2 linked regions of the Cricetulus griseus genome follow. The protein of the gene in region 1 interacts with the protein of each later gene in a biochemical or structural test. Links are inferred from orthologs where the notes say so. Each region holds a gene or a part of one and is shown on either strand. Other genes may lie near its edges.

Region 1 (8,728 bases):
CATACAAAATTTTGGGAAAAAAACAAAAAAAACATATCCACAGATGAGCTAGAGGTATTGGTTACAGAAAATTGATAAGGAATTAAATGCCTTGCACAGCACAGGAGAGGTAGGAGTTGCAAACTCAGCGGTCCAGGCCACAGATTCCTCAGCTTGTGGGTGTCCAGGGAGAGCAAGGAAGGATACTTAAGAATGGATTTCTTTTACCCACTGACAACAGGAACTTGGATTTAACACAGCTACCAGAGTCCAATATTCTCAGCTAATTATGACTTCAGAGGGCTTCCCCAAGTATTTGCAACCCTATTACACAATATATGAAGAATGATTTCCCGCATTGATCTTCAGTTGTGTTCCTACAGAGGAGAGGCTACAATGTGCCTAAAGAAAACATGCCACTTCCTTGAATTGGTAGTGGGGTGGAGGTTCGCCAGGCCTGCAAACAGCTCTATTCTTTGGATAGTTACTTAAATATTCAAAATAATAAAAGTGCTAGGTAGATTTTTAAAGCACTCTCAGTAACTGAACATCTGGGTAATGGTATAACATCCTTTCACCACATGCTGGGTAACAATATAACATCCTTCCACCTCAGCCCACTTGGTTCAGCTTAGACAAATCACAGTGCAGGGAGAGCAGGTCACTCTCCGCCAGTCTCATAGCTCCATTGCAACCTCCCACTCACAAACATGTACACAGGAAGTCTCACTAAGGCTGCTAGACACACCCACAGACTTAGCTGGAACTCAGCAAAGTGAAAGCACAGAAACAGGGAATTTTCAGCCAGTAGAGGGCAGGAGTGGAGCAGTTTGCAAGGGAGGCGGGGAACAGGAAACAGCATTGGACCTGCACTGAGCTCTGTTCTGGTCAAAGCATAGATAGGCTGCGCTCATCAACCCAAGGCTGGCATCTGACAAATGCCCAGCACCACCTAAAAGCAGAAAACCAGGCCAAGTATTAGCACACAAGCATGTTATACTTATCCTCACTCTAGAGAGAAAGAAAAGACAGATGACACTATTCTCCAGAGAAGTCACCATCTTCTGGCTGTCTGCCAAACAGAACATCTTAGATTATGAAAAGTGACCTAAGACAGAGGAAAAAGCACCCACACCACATGATGGTACTTGTATGAAGTACCTAGTGCAGCCAGAGTCAAAGACAGAAGGTGGCATATATATAAGCAAGGGCAAGAAGGAAGTCGTTCCCTTCTCTCTTCCTCCTGGTCTCTACTCTGGAGTCACCATGTGATCCGCCGGCAAGTGAGGGCATCAGCGGATGGCGTCCTCTATAAGATAAGTCTTATAAAATATATAGATTTATGAAAATTAAGACTGAGCTAGCAGATGAGAAATCCTAGTCATTGGCCAAGCAGCATTTGTACCTAATATAAGTCTCTCTGTGTTACTTGGGACCTTAATATGGCGGCGGGGGGAACTTGGGTGGCCTGGCAGAAAGCACACACATGGCAGCAGGACTCAGACTGCTTGTTACAGTGGCACAGTGGCAGGCTGTAAAAAAAGATACGAGAGGTGTTTGATGGGGGTAGTTGCAGTTTTGCCATATGTTAAAAGAGCATGGTAACCATTTGCAGTAGTGCAAATGGCACTGAATTGTTCACTTAGAAATGGACCGCCTGGTTACATTTATATTCTACAGTTTACTAGAAGAAATAACCGAACAAAAGTGGGAGGGGCATCTAAGATGAATGGTGAGAGGCCTGAATACCTCATCAGAGGCGGCTGTTGGCAGTGAAGTAGGCATTCCTGCTATCAGCCTGGGGTTGGATTTCCTAGCAAAAAATCTGGCCTACCCTCTTTGCATTTGCTTCTGCACTAAAACCAACAGCATTTTACTTTGGGGGCTGGGAGGTCAGGATGGTAGTACAGGATGGCTTCAGCTTCAGAAGAACTGCTCTTCAAGCACTCAGCCTCCAGCCATGCAGTGCCTGTGTCCCTACCTCCAGTGGACAGTGCCCAGTCACTTTTGGGGCCAGCTTTATGCCAGCCGTAAGCCACAGGCAATAGAGAGAGAGACTTGTATGCTCAGAGCCTATGCTGATCTCCAGCCCGGGGCTTTCTTCCAGTTCCACCGTGACCAGTCTCATAGCCGGATAGGAAAAGATGGGCCATGGGCAGCTTCCAAGATTTGTCGTTCAGGGCCAAAGCTGTGTGCAGTCAAGGACACAAGTATCTGCTGTTTTAGCAACATGACAGATCAGCCCTTGCTTCCTCCATACAGCTTTTAACAACACCCACCCACATGAAAAGACCAACTGAAATGAAATCTGTTGGAGTAGAATCCACTCTATTCAAGCGGGTGGACTAAATTCATTTTGTTTCAGGGGCAGGGTGGGAAGTTATTCAAAATGGTAAACAAGATTCCATCTGCTGACAGTTTTGTTTCTTCCCTCAAAGCCAAGATATGACTAGCAAAGCCTGTCAGCTAGAGGGAGAAGGACATGCTAACCAACCTGAATTCACCTGCCCCAGTGCCATACTCAAAGTGACACACTCGAATTCATACAGCACGGGTTGGTGGTTGGAGAATGTTCAATCAACAGGTTGCTCAACCAAGCATTTGGAGTGGGAAACAGAACAAAATACTTCGAAGAATGAACAACACCAAGACAGTTAATAATTCACAGGCAAAGGACACAATATAGACATTCCAGGCCCTGGATTTCAACACAAACCTTTCATTCACTCTATCCTGCTCTGCAGCCCATCCATTTAGCCATCTGTCTGTCTTAAAGCCAGTTCTTCATGTCATCCCACCACTTTGTTTAAAACCAGGCTCCCTGTGTGTACCCTTTGTAAAATGGCTGTCTGTCACCTCAGCCTCAGGCCTCCTGGGTCCCAGGATCACTGGTCTGCCTTCCTTCCCTTGTGCACATGCAACACTGGGGTCTCGGGCACTGGGCACACGTAGATCCTGCATTAACATTACCCACTGTTGGCCAAAGGTACCCTGAGCCCAGGCTCCCACCACCTGTTCTGTTCCCAGGGATTGTTCCCTCTTGCTGATGCCTCAACACAGCAGACTTGTTCTCTTCACTCCAACATAAAGACTCTTGTCTCAGCTACCAGTCAAACTCCACTTGCTAACATGAGTGGGCAGACTCATGGTTTGTCACTTTTCACATACACTATCATTAACAATGACAGAAGAATTTGGAATTCAGAAACACCAACGGGCAGGCAAATCTAAGTCCATATATTTTGGGCGCCCACCCTAAGGACCAGCACTTACTGTGTCATCTTCCAGTCTGAGCTGCAGGCTTTTATCCCCCTCTTTGTAGTCCTTGGTTAATTCAGCTGAGCGCCACACTTCATCTGGGTCAGGGATCCAGACCCTTGTGTACTGAAAGATGAGAAGAAAAGAGACTTAGACACAAAGCAAAGCATCCAAAGCATGTGTCAGCATCTATAAAGGAGTTGTCAGGAAAATATTCTACAGCAACATCCATATACCATGAGTCCCACTAAAGACACAAGATGATTCAATATTATAAATAATAAATAGTTCATAGGACTAGTTTACAACAGCACCCTCTCAGTCTTAAGAAAACGTGATAGTCACATTAAAATTCTTTCAGGAGACAGCTCAACACAGGCTTACCACCCTTTTAAAAGGAGACACAAAACAGAAGGATGGAGCATGTTATAATTAGTAAAATAATACTGGTCAAACACAGGGAAGCACAGCAAGACTTCACAGTCTACATTCAGTGGAAGTGGCCAACAAGTCAAAGGCACCCACTGTTAATGGTATAAATCCAAAATATCTCCTCATGCTCTAAATGATTTTGGACCCTGGACCTGCTAATCCAGGAGGCCCTGACCCTTTAGGATGTTTGGCCTAGCTGAAATCATGACACTAGTGGACTTGTGGGGGGGGGTTGTGATGGTTATACCTGCCTTCATCCCTTGCTCTGATCCAGCCACTGTCTTCTGACTCTGTGGCCCACCATGATGTAAACATCCTCAACCACACATTTTCACTGACTACTATGATCACCTTTTCACTGACTATCATCACCTTTTTATTGACTACTATCATCAAAAAAGTTAGCCTTTGAGACCATAGTAAATCTGTCTGATTAGCTTCCTTTCTGGCTTCACAGTCATTTCTTTCAAGTGAGTCTCATTTCATGATTGCAAGATCTTCTAGACACATTACTTTGAATCCTTAGGATTCAGCACATCTAGCAGGTGTGCTCAGTGATTAAAAATGGAATGCATCTTATAGGGGAGCCTGGTTTTACCTAAAATATATTGCCCTGAGCACCACATAATCCAGTACAGACATGGAAATCAACTGCCCAAACTTCAGGAACCTACCTAGTAGGGCAGGTGATACTCATCAAAATATAGTTGAAGGAGTGATGGGACAACTCCTAAGTGTGTGTGTGTGTGTGTTGGGGGTCAGGGTGGATAATGGCTACTCAGTCCATGCAGAAGAGACAAGGAGGGCAGGGAAGATATATCTGGCTGAGAAAGAAGAACCAGGCAGCTTCGTTCTAATGTGGCTTTAGGAAGGCATTGCAGATTCAGATCTTACTGGACAAACCTCAGACCAAAATCCAGTAAACACTTGGCGAGTAGCCTGTGCCAGTCCGTGCCACATGCTATCATAAATCTTCCCAGTCTCCCTCCAATAACAACCTGTGTGACATTTCTCCTCTGTTCTGAATGCAGGGTGGCTGCATCTACAGGCTGGCTTCCCCGTGCCTCTGGCCTCTTACATTTATCCTCTATGGGTTCTCCACTTGAAGCTCCTACAAATTACTCAACAGGGACACTCACCCAACATCATACTTAGCACACACAATGGGCAATTTACAGCACGTTCAAGGGTGATTTAATGATACACCAACTTTGCATTCTAGCTTTGCAAACACTGCCACCCTCACTTGCCCACATGACTTAAGGTAAGGCATGGTCTCTGAAATATGCACAAAGTATCACCAGCACAAAATAAACAATAAGAAAGCAGACCCACAGACTGGAAAGGGAGAGACGCCACAGTAACTAGCAAGGGACTTGAGAAGGGGAGGGTAGCCAGGTGTGATGGGGCTGTGGAGAGGAAAGGGATTTGAAGGAGACATCTCCAGGAGTGACGCAAATGCTATACAGCCAGACAGAGTGCATGCATGAAATATTTGCTCTCAGTTAAAACGATGTGAGTATAAAGCCTGGAGCAAGTGCAGCAACCACGAAAGTGCAGGAGGAGAGCAACAGAGGGGAGTAGCAGGGTACAGTTGACCTGAAGAGGGAAAGGGGCAAAATGGAAAGATAAATACAGTAATAATGTATGAAAAAGTTATAAAGAAGCATACTGTTATCTCCCTGCCTAAAATTATATATCATAATTTAGGCAGAGAGATTATATATATATGTATATATATATATACATATATATATATATATTCTGTGTACACATACACATATACAATTGAAATGCAATCTTCTCATGTGGACTGACAACACTTCCTCCAAGGGCCATAGACTAACAAAAACTCCCAAGCATGAGACTCCCCTTTTGAGTTGTTGGTCAGGGTTGTCCAAGAGATTCCCCTTTCCTGCCCCCAGAGATGGAAAGTAAGTCCTTATTGCTGAAGACATCATGCCCTTCAGATGCAAGACCCAGAGGACTGGAGCTAGGATTGACTTAAAGCCACCTCCTGGAGGACTACCTTTCATGGTACCAGAAAGAGCCATGCAATCTTCCAAAGGAAAAGAGAAGTGGTCTTCCCGAGAGAAGAGCCCCAAACTGCTTATCTAATACCAAGTGGTCAGCCCAGAGATTATATACATACAGGTAACATTATAGGTGGAGCAGATTGTATTTGTGTATTAAGGAATATGTGTGTGTATACACACATATATATTCATATATATAGTCCAATAACTAAAGAGACCATGAATTTGAGAGAGAGCTGGGGTGGGGGCATGGGATGAGTTAGAGGGAGAAAAGGGAAGGGGAAAATGACATAATTGTAATTTAAAAAAATTATAAAAACCAAACAGCAACCCTCCCCTAAAGTCCACCACATTGTTGTACTAGAGAGGGTCCAAAACCATGGAGTATGCAAACCTTCTCTTGTCATGCGTTCTTACTACTAACCTGTAGGAAAACTGTAACAATACATATTTTCAAGAAACTTGTCTTCTTTTATGTGTGTGTATGTGTATTTGCCTGAGTTTATGTGTATCAGATGTCTGCAGATTCCTACACAGGACCAGAGAGAACATGGGATCCTCTGGAACCAGAGTCAAGTGGTGTGTGTGAGCCATCATGTAGGTGCTGGGGACCAAATTTCAGTCCTGGACAAAAGCAGTAAATCCACTTAAAACAGTTCTGAATTGAGTGTGTGTGGGAGGACCTGGAGGACTGAACCTAGTACCTGGCATATGTTAGACAGTGCTTTACCATTGAGTTACTTCCAGCCTTTTATTTTTCACACCTTTGAGAGTTTCTCTCAGATCTAAGCTCTAGCAGCTTCACTGAATGTAAGACAGCAGACTGTCTGAGGACAAGTTCACTCAGTATCCTAATTACAGAGTTACAGAATCTGTCACTACTGTATTTTAGCCACGCTTAGCTCCTTTATGAAGAGCAAATGAAGTATTATTATTATAACCAAGTAAGAGGTAATCTGGGAAGGAGCCCATATATTAACTAGGGATGACTACATCAAATGTTAAAGATTAGCACGGAGCTGTTCTCAAGGCCTTTGCTCCCTGCCTCTGTCTCCAGTGGCATCGAAACATGCAGCTGGAGAGTGGCTGCCTATGACAACCGTGCTCTGAGCTCTGGCTGCACATTACAGTCACTCAGGAGCTTATTAATTCCCAAGCCAGACAATACCCTAGACTATCTCCATCAACCTTGGGGGTGGGAATCAGGCAGTGTGAAAGCTTCCCAGATGAATCCAATGCACAAGCACCTTGAGAACCAGCAATCTGCGTGGTTTGCCTGAGTAACCTCTTTGGGGAGTACAGAGATCCTCATGGATATAGAGGCATCCTTTTGCCAGCATTCTCAACTAAAACGTTTCGGGCAAATGCAAACATGATGTCTGCAAGAGCACACCATTTGTCCACATATGCACTGTGGTAGGTTTCTGGGCTCTACAAGACAGGTCAGTGGCCAAAACTTACTGTCTTGAGTGGGCTGTTGCATATGTCTGAACGCCATCCTCCTCAGATGAACATTAGGATGAAAACTTTATCTACCTCAAACAGTTACCAAAAATTAAATGGGTATCAGAGAATGATGGCAGTGGTGCTATGTATACCATGTTGTATGAAAAGCAGGACCCTGGTAGGATTCTAGATACCAACACCAATTTGGACATAAGTCTATTGCTTCAATTATTTTAGTGTTCTCAGGTCTCTGTACTTAAGTTACTAAACCTTGCCTTATGTTTAGTAACTGAATCTAGCCCCTTTCACTCCAAAAACTGAGAGAAGTGATTCTTGGTGCTGGCTGATAGATAAAAACTATCTGTAGACCTTTAAAACACAAGGACACTAACAGCCACATCCCACATTTGAATAATTAACTCTCTAGGGGGTAGATCCAGAGCAGTACATTAGAACAAAACAAAACCTCAAACTAACTTTCCAAATGATGAAATAATCACATAATTACAATCACTACTTCAGTGATCCTCAGAGCAAAGAAGAAACGTGCAGTAAGAGAACACGGGCACTTGAAGGATTCTCCTCCTGGCATTATTAGTGCCACCTCTATCACCTTACACTAAGGTAACTCACATGAAGTCCTTTAATCATATCAGCTTGGTCTCAAATCCAAGTCAAGGACAGTGGTGTTATAAACAGAAGAATCCGGGGTTTAGACACAATAGACAATCTGCCCAGGCTTCTGAGAGCTGAATGTGAGGGGGTTTTGCAGACCCAGAGCAAAGACCCCAGCCTCTGCCTCTAAACCTTCCACTCTGACCACCGACCAAGAGAAATACTGATCTTCTTGGGGAGGGGTCCAAATCCTGCTGAGTAGGTATTTTATATGAATAAAGTGTCATGTATAACAGTATCATACATGAAAACAAGTGTGAAGGCATAAAGGTAAGGCCTCCAGGGAGTTTCTCTGTAACATATCAGGCACACTGACAACTCAGGTGCAATGACGACTTGGTCTAAAGCAAAACGGTCTGGATTGTGCTCCCTAAGAAGAGCCAAAAAGGGCAAATGGCTTAGCTTGGTGACTGAAAGCATTCTCTGCCTGCTGATGCATATCTGTGTGGGGGCCAAGTGCAGAACAGTCACCTGATTCGGATGTGTTCAGTGCTGTAACTAAATACTAGCCAGAGTCACTTAGCCCAGGCCATAGGTAGGGACCTCCTAACAGAGTGGAACATACACACAGTCAACAAACATTTGACCAGAGACATATCTTAGTTTTCTATTGCTGTCATCAAACACCATGATCAACAGCGATTTGGGAAGGAAAAGGTTGATTCCATCTTACACTTTCAGATAGCACTCTACCACTGAAGAAAATCAGGACAGAGGCCATGATAGAGTGCTGTTACCCATTTGCTCTGCCTACTTTTTTCTAGTGCCACACTGAGCTGGGTCCTCCCACATCAATCAACAATCAAGAAAATTGCCCACAGGACAATCTGGTGGGGACATTTTCTCAATTGAGCTTCCCTCTTCCCAAATGAAGGTCACTTGTGTTGAAGTAAAAGTAGCCA
Region 2 (8,256 bases), on another chromosome or scaffold:
ACCATGGAAAAGGAGCGGCAGGTTAAAGACCCTGCGAATGTCAGGGACTACCAGAGAGTAAGAAGATAGCCAGTTTGCAAAGAAAGCTCTTGCTCTCTAGAGAGACCCGACTGACATCTAGGAATATACACGATCCACATCTCACAATCTAGACTCTAGATTACAGCCACACAAGTGCTGGCTGCACTGCAATCTACATGTTCAGACACGTGTGTGCATTTGCAGATGTAAGAGCCAGTTTCTCTCGGATGGAACCTCAGATGAACAGGTATGCATTTATGACGGCCATTGTGATGGCTGTGTGGTCTCAGCCATAAGTGGAAGATAAGTAGTTAGAAAAACCATGTGTTTGCCAATCCAATTTACTCTTCCTTGACTACAACTTCCTCCAGAACCCTGTGTCTTCTTTCCCTGGGTTGTGAAGAATAAATCAAGTGACAAAAGAAGAGAGCTGTTGCCATGGGCCTCAGCCTAAACGCCAGCACACATGGGGCAATCCCCAGACAGCAGAGCGTGTGTCTCTCCACGTGCGCTGAAGAAAGCTCACTCCTTAAGTTCTTAGAAACTTTTCTGGGGCTAGTAGATGGCTCAGGGATAAGGGGATTGCTACAAGAGCCTGGCGGCCTAAGGTCGATCCCCAGATTCCATATAAAAGCTGGTTACAGTAGTACAAGTGTTTGTATTCTCAATGCGCCCCTAAGGAGACACAGGAAGGACCTACACAATATTCTCCCTGCCCCTCTTTCTCTCTCTCTCTAGACACACACACACACACACACGTACATAAACACACAGACACACGTACATAAACACACAGACACACGTACATAAACACACAGACACACGTACATACACACACAGACACACATACATACACACTCAGACACACATACATATACACACACGTACACACACGCTCGCACACACACAGACACACACACACACACACACACACACACACACACACACACACACTAAGTTAAAAGGTACTTGACTTCCACATGACCATTCAGAGCCAGATTCCCTACAAGACAGGTCTGGAGGCTGTATTGATCATTTGCCCCAACACAACCTGTCTCATTATCCAGAGACAATGAAGAAGCCTATAGAAATGCGTAATAGGAACAGCTTTACAATAGAAATTCTGATAACTGGATTAAGTTTAAACACTTTAATCAACTATAACAAATCAATTATCATATATAAAAATTCTGACTCATGCATCAGATTACATAAATTATACAACTGTCACATTATACAATGTTTATATACTTTTGTACCTGCAAAAATGTATATGAGTTGCTAAGCATTTACTTAAGAAGGAAGGGTAATACTTTTCAATTATAAACAATGCTTACATCATTCCAACACTTGCTAAGAACATACATTTCTAGATCTGCAGCATTTTTTTTAAATTCATCACAGTACATACAATCTAGAAGTTCCATAAATTAAAAAAGGTCCAAATGTACCATTAGGGGACAGATTTCAATTCCATTGTAAGGGTTGATTTTTTTTTTTTGACAGAGAAAAGTAAATGAAATAAAACGTCAACTTTAGTTTAATGCTTGAAGAGCTTCTACACATCTTATTAAATATATCAGGAAGCCCTTCATATGCAGATTAATTAGTGAAGGTGCTACCTATTGCATATTAAATACTTCCAAGGACAGCATCTGGATTATTAAAGTTATAAATCTGTGAAAACGGGGGCTTTCGGTGCATGCTGACAGACCCTCTGTATACCACCACCAGCTTGCAGCACAGTCCTTCCCTCTGCTGAAAAGAGATCAAATGACTGGGCATGCTCACATCACACACACACACACACACACACAGGAGTGACATCCACTGCACCTTTAGGAAAGATGAGTACACAGAAGGCAAAGAGTTTTCGCCTGCTTTCCCAATCCAAGGTAAGCTGCTTTTATTGGGGTGGTGGGTGGGGGATAAAGCTATCCAGGAAAACAAAGCTTTAGTTTATCAGTTACAAAAGATACTTAGCAATAGCAAGTCTTCCTTTTTACATTTTGTTTAAGATTCTCCTTGTTCAGGAATAAGCACTCACATGGGGGTGGGGAGATGGTAACGGGGACATGGAAGAGCAGGTCTGTCACTAATGAGCTTATTTACTTAGGTTTCCACTCGTGAAACCCTTTTAAATACAAGGTGACATTTTCACAGCTGGAAAATTACAACTAGATCTTGATTTACTGCCAAAAGCAATACACGCACTTATGTATAATCTATGAATAATACTACATTCATGGGAGGAGGGCAAAACTAGGGTGGATGCAGAACACAGCAGCAAAAGGCAATGCTTCCAACACTTACCATTAATGGGCTACACTGCATCTTATATACAAGTCTAAGCAATGACCTTGGTGCTCGAGGAATGACACAAGTCCCAGTAGCTGGGTGACGTGGCAATACTGTCAAGCTGAGTTTAGAACTGGGAAGAGACAGGTTGTAAAATACTGTTGTTGTTTTAAGAAGTAGTTTAATTATGTAACAGAAGTGTGTTAGCTTAAATCAGGCTTGAGAGAAGTGTTGATTCTGTGATTTAAAAAAAAAAATCTTGTCAGTAGAAGTGGTTTTAAGCATGTATTTTTAGGCTAAAAGTAGAAATAAAACATCCTTTAAAAATCTATTATGCATGCACTGTTTACTGAAACATACATTTTACTTCCTCTTCTAAGTTAATACAAAAAATAAACCACTAGAATATTCCATGTGACATTTGGAAAATGAACCAATCATGTTGGCCTTCTTTCTATAGTGCCTGGTGGGTACAGTCACATGCTATATTCACTTGTTTTATATCTAAGTTTGTTATGTTTACTATGATAAAAACATTAAGCTCACGAGTGAACACAACATTTTACAGAGTGTAAATGGATACTTTTTATTTGTCTTAGACTTTTGTTTATAATCTGGGTATAATAACTGTGCCTCAGATAAACCTCACTGCCTACAAGACTGCCACTGGACAAAGCTTCATTTTAGATTCTGAAGAGGCAAATACTTGTCAGCCTAGCCAGTCACCAAGGGCAGATGAGTCCATAGATATGGATTCTTGTGGAGGTAACAACTGTGGCTTATAACTTGCTTCTCATAAAAGGGGGCGGCAGCATTTGAACCACGCTTTTCAGATGAGATTTATGGAAAACTTATTCCCAGGATAAAACAGACAGCTTGAGTTCACTCTAGAAAGGACATATTTGGCTGATGCATGTCACTGCACCTGCAGGTATCTGTCACAACACTGAAAACACAGATCTGGGTGCTTTAGAAAGTTTAAGAGTCTCAGCAATGCTATGGTGAAAATATGCTAAGAATTTTAAGAATTTGGTAACATCTAACAAATGTTAATTTTAAATGGCACCATTTAAAAGTAATATTTACCAAGATCTCACATGGGAAAATCAAATCTATAACTAGTCTTTGAAGTTTATTATAGAATCACTTCAATTACAAGTGGAAGAAAATTTGATTTTAAAAAGCCATTTTTCCTTCTCTATTTGAATTTTAGAAAAGTATCTAAGTTTGCATTTGGGAAAAACTCACTTCAAAACCCATGTTTTCTAGAAAAACCACAGAAACTTAGAAAATATAGATAACAAGCGGTTTTGTGACCAAAAATATGAAAATCAGCAAAACTATCATCTTTGCTTTCATTTAACTTTCAGTGAAAATGCAATTCACTACAGGGCTGGGGATGCACTCGAGTTGGTCTCTGTAGGCAGTCTTTTCATTTCCAATCCAGAAAGACAGTCTGCTTCAGAGCATTTAGATCTCAAAGGCTGAAATACCAGGAGAAGATCAGCAATATTCTTACCTCATAACTTTTCACTTTAAATTTTAGGATAATTTTTTTACAAATACATAAGGCAGATCCACACAGGAACTACCATTCTAGGGAGGCGGGCTCAAACAAAGACCCCATATTTTGGTGACATATCAACCCCTCAAGGGTGGACGTGGGGTGCCCCACGCTGTGACTGTGAGGCTGGTGAAGGGACGGGCTGCTCTCAGCACTCACTGCTGCAGTCAATCTCTGGATCGGGGCTCACAGGCAACCATCTGTTCTACTGCTGATGAAACTGAAGCCAAGCCCTTCATTCCTACAACTTGCTGTTGCCTTGGGTTATCCGGCAACAGCCAGCCAGCCCCTCAGACGCCAGCTCATTTTCAGATGTATCTTTGCTGTTGTCTTTGCTCATAATCCAAAGTACAACCAACTGTACTAGCCTATCTCCTGCCTACACTCCCCATAAACTCAAATAGCAGGAGAAAACCAGCTGAAGAAATCCATGCTTCAATGGGAAAAATAAAGAGCCCTAATTTTGTCATTCCTTGAAAAGAGATCATCACGTTTTGGGGCACAGGGCTTTCGGGGTGGGGGTGGGAGGTGGGGGGCTGAGTTGGATGTAGTGAATCCCTTCAAATTCAGGGTTCAGAGAATCAGAAGAGGATTGAAGCAGCTTCTCCATTGAGATGGGGTGGTCCTAGTGACAAGCAGTCATGGTGGATACTGCAAAAGCGAATTTTAGACTATGAGATTCGAATCCTAACCTTAGAGGCAACCACTTGTTTTTAAATGTCTTAAAAGCTCACGTGTATATGAGGTATATGCATGTATATATACACAGAGACACTTGAACATACATAGTCATAGATATATGAGGAACTTGCTATTTTTTAGTAGTGTTTATAACGAGCAGTGTTCCTGACGTTAAGTGCGTCTAGACTGACTTCTAATAATCCAACAACAGTATCAGCTCTGCTTCACAGAATCTATTCCTGAGGAATAACTCATGGGCTGTTAAAGATATTTCCAGGCCTATGGCAGACAGGGGTCCAGAACTAGCATCCAAGTGATGCCACAGAACTGCTCATTCATCAAGGCATGGCCTGTTTTCAAGTGTCAGAGTGTAGAGTGCTTTACTCACTCCAAAGTCACTCTAGACAATACCTGCGAATATGTACAAGACCAACGTATTTCCCAGTGATGGAGGGGAGGAGGTGAAACCTGACAGTGTGGGCTCTTCCAGTAACACACTCCCTTCCTCCCTTCCTTCTTTCTTATTCCCTCTAGCCCTCTCTTCTCAACTATAAACACAGTCCTGTTGGCTCCACTAGCTGTTGGTGAACTTGCCAGCTTTCCTGGATGGCTCATAGGGCACTCGCAGGATGCTGGGCGTCTCCTCCATCACCCTGACAAGGAGGTTGTCAATGTAGTCCTCTAGCTCTCGGATGTGGGTGTCTTTCCTCCGAAGAAGTTCTTTGTGCTTCACCAGCTCCTGTAGCACCTCTTCATAGGTCAGACTCCGGTACCCAGCCGTGGCATCAAAAGGATTGTTGTCCTGGAATGAAATACAGACCTGCTTTAGCAAGCAGGACACAGTGACAGACATTAAGAGTCAGAATTTCATCTTCTGGTTTTTCTGAGGCTGATGAAGTTTCTCTCCAGCCATAGTTAGAAACAGGGTTCCAGTTCCCAGGTGCAGCTAGTGCCAAGCAGGAAGGAAGGAAGACAGGTTAAAAGCCTCACCTGAAATTCATTCTTATACTGGGAACAACTTCTTAGTCCCAGAGACTGCCCATACTAGTGTGGCCTTAACTACAACATGAGTGTTGAGGGTGTGGCTCTGTGGCAGAGCACTTGCTTGGCATGCAGAGGTCCCTAGGTTCCATCTCCAGCATGCTAGAGGGAGTGGATAGGATATGCTCTATAATTTCAAACTATAGTTAGCCAATGTAATGAAAACAGGTTAAAAGTAGACATCTAGCCAAAGTACTGTCAAGAAGCTAGAGAAACTTCACAAATAGACACCACACATATAGACACTGTACACATAGACATTGTACATATAGACACCATACATACAGACATCACATATACAAAGTACACAGACACCACACACATATACACACTGTGCATATAGACACTGTACATATAGACACCACACATAGACACTGCACATATAAACATAGACAACATAGAAACTGTACATATAGACACTGTACACATAGACATTGTACATATAGACACCATACATATAGACATCACACATACAATGTACACAGACACCACACATATACACACTGTGTGTATAGACACCAAACACATAGACATTGTACATATAGACACCATACATATAGACATCACACATACAATGTACACAGACACCACACATATACACACTGTGCATTAGACACTGTACATATAGACACCACACATATAGACATCACATATACAATGTACATAGATACCACACATATAGACACTGTGCATATAGACACCAAACATATGGACACCACACATAGACACTGCACATATAAACATAGACAACATAGAAACTGTACATATAGACACTGTACACATAGACATTGTACATATAGACACCATACACATAGACATCACACATACAATGTACACAGACACCAAACATATAGACACTGTGCATATAGACACCAAACATATAGACACTGTACATACAGACACCACATAAAGACACTGTATATATAAACATAGACACCAAACATATAGACACTGTACATACAAATACCACACATATAGACACCACACATATGGATCCCCCAAATGCAGACACTATACATATCAACATACACACCACACATATAGACACTCTACAGGCACCACACATATAGGCACCGTACATATAGACACCAAACATACAGACACTGTAACACAGACACTGTGCTCACAGAATCACTCCACTAAATTCAGATTCACACTTCTGCCTGGGGTTTTTATTGATGACAGCTATGAGAAACAGAAATACCAGTCTGCTTCTCTAATTTATTGAAAAATGACAGAGGCACCTGGAACTAAACCAATGACCATGATCCACGGTTATAACTTCTGTCTTAGCTGACCAGCACGGTGAGATTCTCTCCCTAAGTAACAGATGCTTCCAGTTCCCATAAACAACAGTTGGATACTGTTTCTATTTTCCGCCCTGTTGTCAGGAAGCTTGGAGCTCAGCTACAGCCATATGAATACAGTCAAGACAGCTATGTGCCCTCTCATCTCACTCATTTACTTAGCTAATGATATCCTAGTGTCCAAAAGTAAAATCTAGCAAAAGCATAGATACAACCATAAGAGTGTCTTGCCTTAACTTTTTTTATTCTAACAGTGTTGTGACACCAAAATCTAAAGAAAACAACTTGTGAGGGTGAAGATGGGCCCTGTAACACTCCCTTGATAGCAATGCCCTGGAATTTAGATCTCCACCATGTAATGTCGAGATACAAACAGCAGATTCGATGCCTTGAAAACACAGTTCTGCTCATAAACTCAACAATTTGGGATGATCTGTATCACTGTTAGTCAAAACACTTCCATTTGCTTTAAGAAAATAACTAAAATACTAAGGAAACTAGTTTTCTGTTCCGAAGGCAGGACTCAAGAGTCTGTCCAGTGGAGGATGGGTGAGGCCTGGGGAATATGGAAAGACTTTTGTTCCCACAGAAATTACATGTCTCTCCCACCTTCAGTACCCTCCCTCTTTCACTGTGATGCGTCTGGGACTTTTCCATTAACGCCAAGGCCAGTTCTTCACCATATGCTCCCCCTTCTAACCCCTAGGCAGAAGCTGGAGTAACATCCAGTCACTCCATTGTGCCCCTTCTTCCTGGACATACACACATTAGGCTGAGACTCAGGACTGGGGTGGTGACAGCTTTCAACAGGCTTCACACTCTCCATGCAGAATTGGACGGTGAGACGAGCATGGACAATGAGTAAACAGGGATCAAGGTCCAGTGGCCTGCCACAGACCAGAGAGACGCAACCAGAAAACAGGTGAGACAGAGGATCTGGTGACACCCACCGCCCCATCGAGCATGGACAATGTCATCCTTGATGGTCTGCAGCATTTTCCTAAGGGAAATAAAAACTATTGAAGGCTTCTAAGCAGAAATGGCTCACTTCTCAGCTCTTCTGCTATGATCAACGATAAACAGAAATATCTTGGAAACAAAGTTCTAGGAAACTAACATGGCAACTATGGTTAGACTGGGGGAGCAGAGGCTGCTTCCAGAGCTATTAAAATACTGAAAGCATGAATTTGGATGCTATAAAAACCTTAACAGTCTCTATAATGCCATGATAAAATATGCAAAGATTTTTTTAACATTTAATAAATGTTAACTTAAAAAATTCTTACCAAGACCTCAGTCATGAAAGTCAAATCCTTTACAAGATACTGAAGTTTATTATAAACT

The links. The genes of interacting proteins can lie anywhere in the genome.
Region 2: the proteins of Myo5b (region 1) and Rab11fip2 form a complex in vitro, tested with the Homo sapiens proteins (2 studies listed by BioGRID). The link is inferred for Cricetulus griseus from reciprocal best matches to the Homo sapiens genes MYO5B and RAB11FIP2.

Annotation. Positions count from the first base shown.
Region 1 is NC_048595.1:165,303,586-165,312,313, forward strand, and holds the start of Myo5b (unconventional myosin-Vb), read right to left. Parts: upstream 4,819-8,728; coding exon 4,809-4,818; intron 3,387-4,808; coding exon 3,253-3,386; intron 1-3,252. UniProt on the Homo sapiens protein: May be involved in vesicular trafficking via its association with the CART complex. The CART complex is necessary for efficient transferrin receptor recycling but not for EGFR degradation.
Region 2 is NC_048596.1:1,406,235-1,414,490, reverse strand, and holds the end of Rab11fip2 (rab11 family-interacting protein 2), read right to left. Parts: intron 5,388-8,256; coding exon 5,139-5,387; 3' UTR 1,510-5,138; downstream 1-1,509. UniProt on the Homo sapiens protein: A Rab11 effector binding preferentially phosphatidylinositol 3,4,5-trisphosphate (PtdInsP3) and phosphatidic acid (PA) and acting in the regulation of the transport of vesicles from the endosomal recycling compartment (ERC) to the plasma membrane.